2 linked regions of the Elephas maximus indicus genome follow. The protein of the gene in region 1 interacts with the protein of each later gene in a pairwise test. Links are inferred from orthologs where the notes say so. Each region holds a gene or a part of one and is shown on either strand. Other genes may lie near its edges.

Region 1 (7,672 bases):
GTGGTGGCCGTGCATGAGGTGCACTGGCCAGGAATCGAACCTGGGTCTCCACACGGGAGGTGAGAATTTTACCACAGAACCACCACTGCCCTCATCTAGTTCAGTGTACAGAGTTTTAAATACTTGGAAGAAAAAAACGCCACACAAATTTTCTCGTTAACCAAGGCAGCCACTTTCTAGTTACATGAAAATGGACAGCCTTCTCAGGAGACTAGATCCTACCTCAGTTTACACTTAGTGTTCACTATAAATTAAGTCAGAGGGATAGCAAGAAAGAAAGTCTAAAAGGAAGACATAAATTTCATTCATTGGAACGAAGTTTTCTCTTTCTCTCTTCTCATGTATTATACCATCTCATATCTTTATCTCAACAGATGGAATGTAACAGTAATAAAAAAACAAAACAAAACAGTAATAGCCATCCAAATGGTAAGCATGGATTGTTATTTTCTGAAACTCATATATAATTATGACTTTTTTCATTCCTAGCACTATCAAAACCACAGAGCTTGCACATCACAGGAAAATGCCTGAGTTCATATTTCATGCTGATGTCGTCTTGCCATTGTAATGTAAATCTCTAACTAAAAAAAAGCAACGTAGCTAATGAAATATCCAAATGGTTAATTTAGTTCTTGGTGAGATGGTGATTCTGTGACCTAATGCTTTAATTGAATCATCATAGTAATTAACTGAATTGTATTCATTTATACTTTCACTTAATGGAAGCCTCTTAAAATGAATAATTTCACATCAAAACATCTGTTACCTAAGACATCATCAGTTAACATTCATTTCTGCCCCATAGGCTATTCTCGCTTTAAACTTCATTCAGAAGGCAACCCAAAAATAATAAGCACCGAGCTAAGAGCTTTGGGAGAAAAGTAACTCAACAGTTACAATTTACTTGTGTTTTTAAGTGATCTTACTGTTTGATTCTGGAGTGATTTTTCTATGACCAGGCTCCAAAACAACTCTTCAAATAAAAATATCTACACTCATTTTCATATCCTTAGCCAAACTGTCAATTAATGCCCATGTATTCATTTTCTTAAAAAAACCCTTTATGCCTGGGAGTCACTTAATATAATTTTTCAGCTATATCGCTTTCACAACTAACTTAGGGAGAATTTTATCATGAACTGAAATAGGAGGCTGTGCCTAACTTTTAGATCAACAGTAGCAATTGAAACATGATTGATTATAAGTCAGTTATGGGAACTATTCAAAATTTAACTGAGGGAATCTATTCAAACTAAGGGAGAGGGAAGCAGCTCCCATGACTCTGTATTATAAGGCGTACCAGTGAACAGCAGAGTGTCAAATATCCTCCGCCTACCTTTCACACCTTCTGGGGCTCCAACTCTCAGGAGCTCTGCTTTCAGAAACTGCAGTTAAATTTGGAGAGAGTGAAAAAGTTTCTTTCATTCCCCGGAAGGAGTCATTACTAAGTTAATGAAGGCCCACACGTTGTTCATCAGAAATTTACAAGCTGCAAGTTACCACAGTATATAGGAACTCTGCCATGAAAAAGACAGATTTCACAGAGATAAAAAGATCACTATAGAGACAAGATGGATCAACACATTCTTTACTCCCTACGGTTACAGCTAATACCTCCTATTTGCAAACAGTTTTGAATAACACTTGCTCCTAAATCCCAATGCAAAATAAATTGCTCCAATTGCCGAAGTGTCTAGAATTCAAAATTACTCTTGACTGCAGCTCAGGCAAATTCTATAAATTACTTTTTTTTTTTTTTTACCTTTAACAAACTTTTGGGGCCCTTTGATGAAGCAATAAATCCAAGATATAAAATGTGTGCTTAACTTTCCTACATGAATTATCTGACATCTTGCTCTGATAAAATATGCAGTGTTCTGTGAAAATCTTTTCCAACCCGGCTAGGGACCCTAAAATCTTTCAAGTATGTAGGACTTTATATTTTTGAGAATATGCCATATCAGTATTTATGAATGTTTCCTTCCTGTTAAAAAAAAAAAAAAAAAGGCAGAAAAATCTATCATCCCGTAAAAAAAAAAAATAAGACGGAACACTTTTCAGCCCGGTCCACTTTACCTTTCCGTTCTAAAAGCTCTAGGTTGCATTTAACTGGGCTAATTTCATTAAAGTAGAACAGACTGGCTTCCGGGGGTCCCTGTGCAACAAACCCTGCGTGCATCCTCGCAGCAGTGTTTTGTTATTGATTCGTGTCCCGAGTTTTCTGGCCAGTCATTCCCAAACAGATGCGAGTTTGCGAGCAAAAACGCAACACGTTCCGGGGACCCCGAAGCTGCCGAGCCTGTGCGCCGCCCTGGGCTCCCGCCGCGCGCCCGGGGTCCGCGGGGTCCGCCCGGAGAGGAGCGGGGTGCGCCCGGAGGGGAGCGGGGTGCGCCCGGAGGGGAGCGGGGTGCGCTCGGAGGGGAGCGGGGTGCGCTCGGAGGGGAGCGGGGTGCGCCCGGGGTCCGCCCGGAGGGGCGCGGGGTGCGCCCGGGGTGCGCCCGGGGTCCGCCCGGAGGGGAGCGGGGTCAGCCCGGAGGGGAGCGGGGTCCGTCCGGGGTGCGCCCGGGGTCAGCCCGGAGGGGAGCGGGGTCTGCCCGGGGTCCCCCCGGGGTCCGCCCGGGCCCCGCGCTGCGCTCCGGCCGGGGTGAGGCGCGGCCCCGCGGCCCCAGCACAATGCGCCGCCGGCGGCGGGAACCGCGCGCCCCTCAGCAGCAACTTCGCGCGGCCTCGCCCGCGGCGCCGAGCCTCGGCCCTCGCGCCGGCCCGGCCCCGCCGCCCGCCCGCCCGCCCGCGGCCTCCGGCGCGGCGCCCTCACCGTTGCAGAACTGCAGCAGCGAGGACGTGTCATAGAGGCTGCTGTAGCTCGAGAAGCCGTCCTCCATGCTGAGGCCGCCGGCCAGCCCGCTCCGCTCCCCGGCCGCGCCGCCGCCGCTCACCCACACACTGAGCCCGGGCCGCGGCCGGCGCTGGCGCTGGGGCCGGCCCTGCTGTGGCGGCGGCTGCTGCCGGTCACCATGGCAACCCCGGGCCCGCCGCCGCCGCCGCCGCCGCCGCCGCCGCCGCGCGCTCCCCGGGCCGCGCACCGAGCGCCGGGCCACCCGCCAGGGGGCGCCGCGGCGGCGGAAGGGCCGAGCGGGAGGCGGGACGTGGCGGGGCGGGGCCGGGGCCGGCCTCCCTCTCCGCCCCCCCGGGGCCGGCCTCCCTCTCCGCCCCCTCGGCCGCCCTCTGCGCCCTGAGGGGAGGGCGAGGTGCTGGGGAGCCTCGGCCGCAGCGCCCCCCTCGGTCCCCCCGGCCGCCTTCCTCCGCCGAGCGAGGGCCGGGGGCGGGCGCGGGGACAAAGGGAGAGGCCGGGAGAGCCGCAGCCACGCGGAGGGGCGCCAGGTCCTCGCCCAGGGGGCGCAGCCCGTCGGCAGGGCGGGGCGGGGGCCTCGGCGGTGACCCCCGGCCGCCAGCAGCATGGGCCGGGCGGGGAAGTCCTCCCTGGCCCTGGGGACGGCCTGGGGTGACCCCTCCCCGGAGCCAGACCCGGCCCGCCGGCAGCTCCAGAACCAAACATGGGCAGCTGGGGAGCCTTTTCAGCTCTTTCCACCTCCGAGCAGCTCCACTTTTGGCCGCGTCCCCCGAGGCGCGCCCCTCTTTCCACTTGTTTTTCCGCTGCAGCAGGGCCTTGCCTCCGGGTTTGTAACTCGCGTCAACTATTGCTTACACGCCCAAAAAGATGCTGCTTCCTACTTCCAAAGAGGCCACCCTAATATGGGGCTGGAAACTGCCGCGGTTAAAAGCACGGTGGAAGCCCTCCAAGTTAAAACATACACGCTCTTCTTTCCCCGGAAGACCAGCCCCTCGGACGCAACTTTGTCGCACTGCAGGCTTGTTCACTTGATCCCTGCATGACCTCAGGAAATCTGTTTGTTCTATCCCAGAAAGAGGCAAAGAGTTAGGACAAATAGGAGAGGAAGAGAAACACACCCACACATACAAATACTAGATCCATCATTTGAGCTTCCCTACCCACGCTCTGAAGTAAAGATGGCGGTAACAGGTGAGGAAGCAACGTACATAAACATATATAATATTTTTTTTTATATGAATAGGGTGATCTAACCCAGGCACAGGCTCCGTCAAGAAGACGGCTGCATAACATCTGTGTTCGTTGTTGCACGATAGCCATGATTCAATTACATGTAAAAGTCCGAAAGGTTTCAAATTGGTATGAGCTTGTATAGGTTGAACACAAGTGGGTGAAAGAAGAACTGAATAAAAAGTTACTCTGAGGGAAATTCGTGGGCCTCCCTGGGGTACAGAGGAGATGGAAGCCTGTCTTCCTAGGACAGCTTTGACATCAGTGGATGGCAGGTCAGGGCCCAGGACTCTGTCACTTTTCCTGTGGCATCTTTAGTGTATGGGTTAGCAAGGACTGCAGTTAGATGCTGTGGGCAGAGGGGAGAGGTCTAAGACCCGATTCCTGTCCTAGGCAGGGACACTGAGCACAGAAAGAGGGATTGTTCGTGGGAAGAAGAAGGGAAGGAGAACATTGTGGGTGGAGGCCGAAGGGCCACAGGTGCTGTTGGCTTGGAGCAGGACAGCAGGAAGGACACTGTTAGTGATCAGTGGAAGAAAGGAGGAACAGGGCCTCTGGACAGGCCAAGAGAGCCAGCCTGATGTGAGTTGGCGGATCACATTGCAGACAAGAACTAGGGATGGGCTGAGACAAGGGCTGGGTACGAGAGGCCCGGACAGCCTGCAAGGAGTCTGAACCAGACCTGGCAGGAGATGGAGGGACCCACAGAGGTTTTCACACTGGAGCTTTCACGCCGGAGCTGAATCTGGGTGTGACCTGGCCTGCAGGGGCCAGGGTCTGGAGCAGACTAGGTCTGTCTGCAATGCTCCAGAAACAAGGCACTGGGGCTCGGACAGTAAGAGGAAAACTGTCCTTAGGACCATGTGGCTGGGTGCAAAGCATCCAGTTAGAAACGCCCTGTAGCAACTGGAGAGCTGTGGAAGCTGTCAGTAAAGAGGTGGTACCTGAACTCTCAAAAGAAGACAATGGAAAGACAGAGGAGCGGGGCAGAGCCTTGGAGAGAGAATTCTGAAGGAGCAGCCACAGAGGCAGAGAAATCTGCAGAAGGTATCTCAGAAGCCAAGGGCACGAGCGCTTCAAGGCAGTGGGAGAAATCACGAGATCCTCTGCAGAAGTGGCTGAGGTGGACAAGGCTGAGAAAGGCCCTTCCACGTGGTGGCAGAGGGCTCCCAAGTGACCTTGGCCTCTTGGCAAGGCGGTGAGTTGGAAGCTGGGTTGCTGGACATCAAAGGGAGGGTCCATTTGGCAGGAAAAGGAAATGGGGCCAAAGACAGGGCAGAGGTGGCAGGAGGGTCAGGTAAAGAGCTCCCCTGCCCAGTACAGGTGCATCTTTGCATCTCCAAGTTGAGAGCCAGGTGCTATGGACAAGGGACCATCAAGGGTGGGACTTAACACACCCAAACCCAGGTGGACAATTTTCTCTGCCTTTCTCTGTTTTCCTATCTCTCCCTCTTTACCCCCTTTATTCCAATCTTTCCATTACCCATCTGTCAGTCTGTCATACTGTGGTGGCTTGCATGTTGCTATGATGTTAGAAGCCATGCCATCGGTATTTCAGATACCAGCAGGGTCACCTATGGTGGACAGGTTGCAGCAGAGCTTCCAGACTAAAACTGACTAGGAAGAAGGGCCTGGCAATCTACTTCCAAAAATTACCCAGTGAAAACTCTGTGGATCACAATAGACAATAACTGTTTGATACAGCGCTGGAAGATGAGCCCCCTTAGCTGGAAGGTACTCAAAATAGACAGTGGCCACAACAACGGACTCCAGCATATCAACAAAAATGAAGATGGCCCAGGACCGGGTAACATTTTGTTCTATTCTACGTGGGGTCACCATGAGTTGGAGCAGACTCAGTGGCAACTAACAATTCCGGTCTTCGTGCTTTCTCTATTCCGCTTTGCAGCTTCATAATTTAGGATCTGTTGGCCAATTGGTGTAAAAAACTGATGTGCGGCATCCTTGAACTTGGAAAGGATGTGATAATCATAAACAAATTGTGAAAAGAAGGTTCTCTTTAAGAACGTTAATATTCCTAATTTGTAATGTTAAAGATATGATATTTGGTGGCCCCAACTAAGAAAGGTTAGGGAATAAAGAAGATTCCAAAATGGGAGAGGAGAAATATGTCTAAAAGTTTGGCTGTAAAACTGGGCTGGAGATTTTCTTAGGAGACTTGTTACTTCTACTGGAGACAAATGACAAAAACACAATTCAGAACTCAGTCTATTTGCTTTTGAAATGATAAAGATCATTTTTATACCCTTAACCTAGAGTATGAAACCACTATGTTTTTTCCACAAGGGTAAAAATCTTACCCCGAGGGAAAAAAAAAAAGCAAAATTTAGCATCATTACAAGGATGGGCACCTGAAGTCAATTAGATACAATCAACACAGCATTAAAAAATATCTATGGAGAAAGCTCAAGAAAAATCTCTGAAAACTTAATGAATAATGTGTGCTTTCGCTGCCCAAACATCTTAACAGGCTGTTATCTCATGCCATTTTTAGATTACTTATGGCCTGGGTCCAAAAAACTGTTGTCATTGTAATAACTGATGTGCCCTCTTTAGGACGTTGTAACCACAGCCTTCAGTGGCATTAATAGTAGCGTTTGTACAACATAGAAAAACAGAAGGAAAAAAGGAGCTCTGTAGCCTTTATTCAAAGAGAAGTAATAAAAACTAACCAGAAACGTGAGGCCTCATGCATCTGTTGTTTAATTCAACAATTCTCCAAAAATAGCTCCAGAGTGCCAGGCCCTGGGCTGGAGGCTGGGAATCCAGCCCACAGAACGCAGTGATTTCCAGACTGCAGGTGATGGCTCATTTAAAACATAAAAAACTGTGGCCATCAAGGGGATTCCAACTCATGGCGACCCCATGTGTTTCAGAATAGAACTGCACTCCATAGGGTTTTCATGGCTGTGACCTTACGGAAGCAGGTTGCCAGGCCTTTCTTCTGTGGCACTTCTGGGTCAGTTTGAACCACCAACCTTTCAGTTAGTAGCCCAGTGCTCAATCATTTGTGCTACCCAGGATGGTTCATTGGTGGTGGGTAAAATCAGTTTCAAGGGTCACAATCGGCACTTTAAAATGAAGTGGAAGAAAAGATAATTACAGTGAGTTAAACATCGTAAGAACAAGTATTTTTACTGGAAACCTGGGTCTTTATGAGTGTGCCACATTGAGATGTGGAATGTATTTCTCCCTGTAGGCCACAGTCAAAGTCTGAGAAGCACTAGGTGTGAGACAAATAATCATAGAAATGAACGAATGAAGGCAAATGGTGAAAGTGCTAGGAAACAGACAGAGGGAGAATTTCAGATTATTCTCTATAAAATGAGAGATAATCACAGGTTCTTAGCATCAATAAAGAACATTAAACATGGTCTCCAACTTGCCTGCCAATGCAGTGATCTTTTCCACAATGTCCCTGATAAATGATTGCTTAGCTCATTTCGAAGCAGAAGGACTCAAATCATTAAAAAGATTGTTTATTTTTATCCCAAATCGCCCCCTCTCTCCCCTCAATGTCCCTGCTTGATCCTTGTTTGGTAGGTCAATTTAATCTCCTTATTATCC
Region 2 (6,971 bases), on another chromosome or scaffold:
TCTCCTGTCACCTTCCCTATCAGTGACCTGCACACCCGGGTCCCAGGCCCCACAGAAGGTTTAAATTCTGCCCTCCTTAAATTCTCCACTCCTCCTTAGCACCTGACTCCCTAGACCTGTGGCCTGGTATCCTGCCTTCCCACTTTTCTATCTCCGTGACTCAGAACAGTATGTTAGGCTTCTGGCTCACCTGGCCTGAGCCCACGTCCACAACCTGGGTACAGCCTGTGAGGTCACTCAGCTTCTTCACCAGCTGAAAAAAGAGGGAGCAAAGGTCTTTTGGCCATTGTTCCTTGACTCCTAGGGCAAACACCCATAATGAGGGTGGAGGAGCTGAAGATGACAGAGGAAGATGGGTTCAGAGGGATCCAAGGAAGAGGCAAGAGATACAGAAACCAAAATGGGGGGTGAGGGGAGGGTGGATGCTGACACCAGGTTCAGGCCACTCTCCTTGCTCCCCTTGGGCCAGGGATTCAACCTCCCGCACAGACCAAGGAAGAAGCGCCCTGCTGTGAACCCTCCATGAGCAGGTTGTGGAAATGTTGAGAAGAGGAGTAAGACAGTGATCCAGATAAAGCCACCAGTCAACCCAGTAAGAGGTTGAAAAAAAATACCAACATCAAGATATGATTATAGTATGTCTGCCCCAAGGCAGGGGCCTTGTAGGGCCTTTGGTCCTATATGTGAGGGAAGGGGCAACATATTTGTACCCTATGGGCTTAACGAGTCCCAGGGCTCCCAGACACCACCTGTGTCCCCAGCCATCTCACCTCTCCCAGCCTCCGGATCTCATGCTGCTTCTTGGGCCTGACATGTTTCCGGAACAGAGGCGTCAGTCGGGAGCTCTGGCTGGGGTTCTCCAGGAACTCCGAAGGGGTCTGGAACCCAGGTGTCCGAGTAAAAGCCAGGGCATAGGCTGTGGACTTCAGGGCCAACAGGGTGAGTGGCCACACCGACCTGTACCTGAGATAGCCCAGCCAGGCCACCAATGAAGTCCTGTCACAGCCTCAGTGTAGCAGTTTACAACCCAGGGGGCCAAGGAAGCCCTTGTGAGACTCTGAACAATGGTTAGCCGCAGGGCTCAGTGCCAAAGTCACCCAGGACAGGGCCCCTCTTGTCCATACCTGACCACCTCTCCTTCCCCAGGCAGCCCCAGCAACAGTGTGGCCAGCTGTGGGGGGTTCAATCTATCCAGTGCTTCCTGCCATGAGCAAGGGAGTGTGCTCCACAGGTTGTCTGTGAAAAATTCCTGCAGGAGAAGGGGAGAAGCAATCAGCAGACTACTACCACTTCTAGTTTTCCCTCCCCACTTATAATTCCCCACCTTATCTCCTGCCACTTCCCAGCACTGCTGCTACACAGGGCCACTGGCTACAACCAGCAAGTACCTCTACTCATCCAACTCACCTCTTGCTCCAGCCATACCACTGTTTCTCTCAGTAGCTGACCTATCCTTCCTCGGTGCTGAGATTGCATTCTGAATACACCTCTCCATTTAGGAGGTTCCCCTACTTATATGTCTATTTTCTCCACTCAACTGAATTTCTTAAAGGCAAGAATGGTGTCTTCTATCCACATCTGTGTCCCCAGCGCTAACTGCAGTAACTAACACACAGTGCACGCACTATCACTTAGTAACCTATTATATATGCCAGATCCTTGTGTACGTTTATTCATTCGTTTGTTCAACAAATTCTGGAGCTTTGATTATGCACCAGGCACTGTTCTAGGCTCAGGGGATACAACAATGAAACAGACAAGATTACTGCTCTTGTTGAGTTTACATAAAAAAAAAGTTTCAGATCATATTAAATGCTAATGAAATAGTAACGTAACGGAGAAGGTGCGAGAGGACTAGATAGGGTGATGAGGGAAGACACGTGAATGAACAGGAATCAGCCATGTAAAGAAAATGCAGGTGTTAGCAAACACTTATGTAATACTTTAATATGTCAGCCACTGTTCTAAACGTTCTACATGTATTAATACATTTCATCCTCAAAACCATATAAGGTAGGTACTATTATTATCCCCCATTTTACAGGTCAGGAAACTGAGGCACAGCAATTAAGTAGCTTCCCTAAATAAAAAAGTAAGTAACAGAGCTAAGATTTGAAACCAGTTTGACTCCAACATCCTTGCTCTTCGCTTCAGTCTGGAGTAAAAGCATCCTAGGCAGAGAAGTAAGTGCAAAGGCCCAGATGGCTGCCATACCCTGGAAGAAAAATCAGGCCAGTGTGCATGAAGCACGGTGAACGTGGGAGACGATGAAATACGATGGGGATGAAGAGGCAGCAGGGGCTAGATCATGTCAGGCTTTACAGCTACATTTTTAAAGAGATCCATCTGTCTGCTCTGTGAATTGGTTATGGAGGGGCAGAAGTAAACACAGAGCAGTTAGGAAGCTATTGTTGGAGTCCAGGGGAGAAATGATGGTGGTTTGTCCCAGGGTGGTAGCAATGGAGATGGAGAAAAGTGGATGAACTTGATATCTGCTCTGGGGGTTAAGTCAACAGGACCTGCTGAAGGGTCGGATTGTGGATCAGTGAAAGAGCTGAATCAAGGATGACTTCTGGGTTTGGGGTGTGTAACAATTGTTACACATTATCTCATTTATTCTTCATAGTGATCCCTCAGACAGAGGTCCATTTTAGAGCTGAGGAAACCAGAAAAAAAAAATCCAAACCCACTGCCGCCGAGTCAATTCCGACTCATAGTGACCCTGTAGGACAGAGTGGGACTGCCCCATAGAGTTTCCGAGGAGCACCTGGTGGATTCGAACTGCTGGCCTCTTGGTTAGCTGCCGTAGCAACCACTAGGCCACGAGGAAATCGGGGTTAGGAATAAAAACAAAAATGCCTAAGGCTAAAACAGTAGTGGAGGCAGGATTCTAGTCTAGTCTAATTCCAAAGCCAGAAACTGTCCACTATACCACAAAAACAATTTATTCAAAGCGCGGATGAATGTGAGGTCAACGTGACTGCCACACAGCTCCTATGTTCATGCGTTTTATTACCTTGGATTTGGGAAGGTTTGAAAAACCTAGGTATTAGGGATACTCATGTCAGCTGAAAAAGGGGTCACCCCAGTTTTAACCCTTTCGTGTACAGACAAAAAATTGAAACTCATAGAAGAAACGAGATCGGAGACCAACTCTCTAGAGTCTCTCTCTGTCGTGGACACCTAGCCAACCACACCCGACCAACACCTGCCCCAGGAGCACTCCGCCCACACCCCCATGGCCTCACGATGATGTAGGCATCCAGGATGGAACGGTAGAGCGCCAGGACACGGGTGAGTTTCACAGCTAGCTGCCTCCTCTCCTCCAGAGAGAGGTCCCGAGCGGAAACGCCCGGCATCCTGGGGTCCAGTCGGAGCGGGATGCGAGAAGGCGGTGAGAGATCCACGGTCACTACCACGCCAGTACAGGGCCCAGGCTCGGCTCAGCTCTGCGGGCGGGACGGGACGCAAAGGTTTTGGGTCAGGCGCCCGACGTTGCCTTTCTCAGATCCCATTCTGGGGCTGAAGATACGAGGTGCCCCCTAACGTCACAGGTCGTGACGTCTCAAAGCGCGAAGGTATCAGCGTCGGAGACAGGTGGGCGGGGGCGACAGCGTAATGACGACACAGAGGCGTGTTGCGGAGCCACGCCTACGAAGGGGCGGGCCAAGTTCCAGATCCCGCCCCTTCCCATACACGCTCCTCCTCTCCAGGAAGTAAGGCCCGGGACCCTCAGCACGCCAGTTCTTGTTCGTCGGGGCTTCCTTACACCTTCGAGTTGTACCTCCACGGGGCTAGAGGGGCTGGGGAGCGCATCCCGCCCCCGCCTCCACCCACACCGCCCCCGCCGCCGCCGCCGCTGCCGATCCTCACACACTCCGAATCCCTGGCTTCGCTTCCGGAGGTGGGGGCGCTGCGGGCGCGCGGGCGCCGGGCCCCAGCCCGTTCCAACCCGCGCGCCTGCCGTCCCGGGCCTCGTCGACGCGCGCCGACTTCCGCATCCGGCTCCGGACGCTTCCGGTCTTAGGGAAGACCATCTGGGAGGTAGGTATGTGGGCGCTGGGCCGATCTCCGTGGCGGGGGACTGTCAAAGTGTGCTCGCCGGGGTGGGCTCCCCCGAACCTAATTCCCCCCGCCCCTGCTAGTATATAGCGTGAAGGGTCCTTTCTTGGGAAAAGAAAAGACTTGGGTGAGGTGCATGTGGATTTTCCCCCACCTGGAGCCGAGGAAAAGGGGTGCCTAGATTTGTATCTCTATTCATGGGGCCTGCCCTGGGGTACTTGGGTAATCTAGAGGTCATCTATGCCATGCTGCTCCCTACTTTCGAGGATACTTGGACGTTCCCTACCTGGGCGAAGCTTTATAAAGCTCTTCTATTCTGGTTTTCCACATTCACAGAGAATTTGAGTTATGATGGGCCCTCCAGCCCCCTCAGTTTGCAATAAGACCAAGACCAAAAGAGGGGGAATGACTTTCCTAAGACCCTATGGTTAGTGAATGTGGGGTTTTGCTAGATTCCAGGCTTCCTGACTCAGATCAATGCTCCTTCCATCGTTTCACATTGCAGTGCTATTCCTCCTCTATCTCAGAGGTTGCCCTGATGTATAACTTTCCTCCCTTGAGTCCTGCAGAGATCTGTCATATCTCATTTCTTCTAGGTCTGCGGGCTCGATTACCAGGATTCACTTTATTCCCCAGGCTGTACTACAAACCTCCAGATGCCGGTCTATGGAATTCAGCAGAGAATGAGTCCTCTGTTCTCCTTTCATCTGTAAGCTGCTCTCCTAGCATCCACTGTCCTCATGTCTACCTTACTCCTCAATCTGGATTTTGGGGAACCTCCTCCCAAAAAGGCTTTAGAGGGGAATTCCAAGCATCAAAATTTTGTCAAGAAGCGGCGGTTCTTGGAACAGAAAGGTTTTCTGAATAAGAAAAAGCAGCCCCCTAGCAGGGTGGCTAGGTTGCACTCAGACCCCCCAAAGAAAGAGGAGACTGCTAAGGTAGGTGGCACTTGGAGGGTCCCTCCCCTCCCAAAAAAGAAAAAGACAGCTGCCTCCAGCAGTGGATCAGAGCAGTCCCTGGACAAAAAAGCTACAGTGCCTTGGTTGACCCCTGCCCCTTCACAGAAGGGTCATTCTACTGCAGCTAAAGTAGATTTGCTGGGGGAGTTCCAGAGTGCCCTTCCAAAGATTAAGACCCACCTAACCTGCTCCCAGAAAAAGCATCCCCAGAAGACTGCCTCACAGAATTCCACTCAAGCTCACTCAGAGAATAACTGCTCCGGAGTAGTCCAGGAGATGCCAAGGAAGATGGTGGCAGTTGACTGTGAGATGGTGGGCACAGGGCCCAAGGGACATGTCAGTTCCTTGGCTCGATGTAGCATTGTCAACTACAATGGTGACGTGCTTTATGATGAGTACATCCTTCCCCCCTGCCGCATTGTGGACTACCGGACCAGATGGAGTGGGATCCGGAAGCAGCACATGGTGAATGCTACACCCTTCAAGATTGCTCGGAGCCAGGTGAGGGGCCTGGGGCATGTGGCTGTCCGTAAGATGGGGGGGAGGGGTCCCAATCATTTTTCAGCAAAAGATATCACTGGGGAAGGCACCAAAGGATTGTAGAAGGTGGGAGAGAGGTATTGGATGGTAAAGAAGGTTTCCTGTTAGGGTGAGGAGTGATGAAAGACAGGAAGGTTATAGTTAGCCGGTGTAACAGACTTCATTTGTTGTTGTTGTTAGCTGCCTGTTGAGCTGGCCCCGGACTCAGCAGTTCCATGCACAACAGAATGAAACACTCCCCAATCCTGTGCCATCCCCATGATTGTTGTGATGCGTAGGGTTTTCATTGACTGATTATCAGAATAGATTTCATTAGCCACCTACTTTAGGTCCCAAATGGAATCCTGATCTGGGCAACTGGGAATCTGCACAGAGAAATAACAGCTAGTGACAAAACTGGACAGAGCAGCAGACATGAGTGCCCAGTGAAAGGGCTGAATTTGGGACTGCCTGGTAGCTGGAGTCTAGGGTTGAGAGTGGAGAGATGAGTCTAGGGTTGAGAGTGGAGAGATGGAGAGGGCTTCCTAGCCTGAGGGAAGTGTTGGTGGCAGGTGAAGGTAGAAAGTTAACAGAAGGAACTGGGGCATATTTGTATAGCTGCGCCAATTGGCCTGCATTGAAGGAGATGAAAGACACATAAAAAAGAAAAAAGGCCTGTGCCGGATGCTGGGAGCATCACAAATTAACAGGAAAGGAAGAGGAAGAGGATGGGGGAGAAAGGGGAGCCTGCTGACGATAGAAGGCCTCCAGAGGGCGCCCTTGGTCCACTTCTTTGCTAATTCAACTCCATTTTCTTTGCCATCTCTAGACACGCTTTCTTCTGATAATTCTTTATATACCAGAATAGTCAGTTAGGGAAGGTTCATCAGAGGTGAAGCGGCTGGTTTTTAGAAAGGACTTGGAATGAAAAGCCGAAGAACATCTTGTGCACAGGGGGCACGGCTTGAGCAAAGGCTCAGGAGGGGCAGAAAACAGGGTGGGTCGGAGACAACAAACCCGCTCACCTTTCTCGAGGATTGTGTGTTGAGGGGAGCCCTGATGGCAGTAGATTTGGTCTGGCATGTGTTGAGGTTAAAAGAGGGTGGTAGTGAACTGTAGGTGAAGTCATTAGCAACCCATTAACTAACTGGTTGAACTACATCCAGTTTTTATTATAAAGCACTTCCACAATCCCCAAGTTGGGGTTGTGAGACGAAGCTACATTCAGATGAGCCTGGCCCTTTCAGAGGGGTCCCATTGGGAGGCCAAGCACTTACTCCAGGACTGTTGCTCTTGTTCACAACCTGTGTGGAACCTCACGGCATATTCTTTGATTGTCCCTACAGGTAGTATATCCTTATGTTTAAAGTTTGTGAAATATTAAGATGTTACTTGCTTCCAAACCAGTGTGACCAAGGCTCCTGGCCAGCT

Evidence for each region.
Region 2: the proteins of EML1 (region 1) and ISG20L2 interact in binary tests that used the Homo sapiens proteins (3 or more experiments, as listed by UniProt). The two-hybrid records come from large-scale screens. The link is inferred for Elephas maximus indicus from reciprocal best matches to the Homo sapiens genes EML1 and ISG20L2.

The regions. Positions count from the first base shown.
Region 1 is NC_064828.1:113,576,138-113,583,809, forward strand, and holds the start of EML1 (echinoderm microtubule-associated protein-like 1), read right to left. Parts: upstream 3,003-7,672; 5' UTR 2,886-3,002; coding exon 2,819-2,885; intron 1-2,818. UniProt on the Homo sapiens protein: Modulates the assembly and organization of the microtubule cytoskeleton, and probably plays a role in regulating the orientation of the mitotic spindle and the orientation of the plane of cell division.
Region 2 is NC_064821.1:194,473,905-194,480,875, reverse strand, and holds the start of ISG20L2 (interferon-stimulated 20 kDa exonuclease-like 2), read left to right. Parts: upstream 1-3,954; 5' UTR 3,955-4,044; intron 4,045-4,658; 5' UTR 4,659-4,802; coding exon 4,803-5,522; intron 5,523-6,971. Other genes in the region: METTL25B (methyltransferase-like protein 25B), read right to left, coding at 191-253, 771-963, 1,125-1,249, 3,249-3,359. UniProt on the Homo sapiens protein: 3'-> 5'-exoribonuclease involved in ribosome biogenesis in the processing of the 12S pre-rRNA. Displays a strong specificity for a 3'-end containing a free hydroxyl group.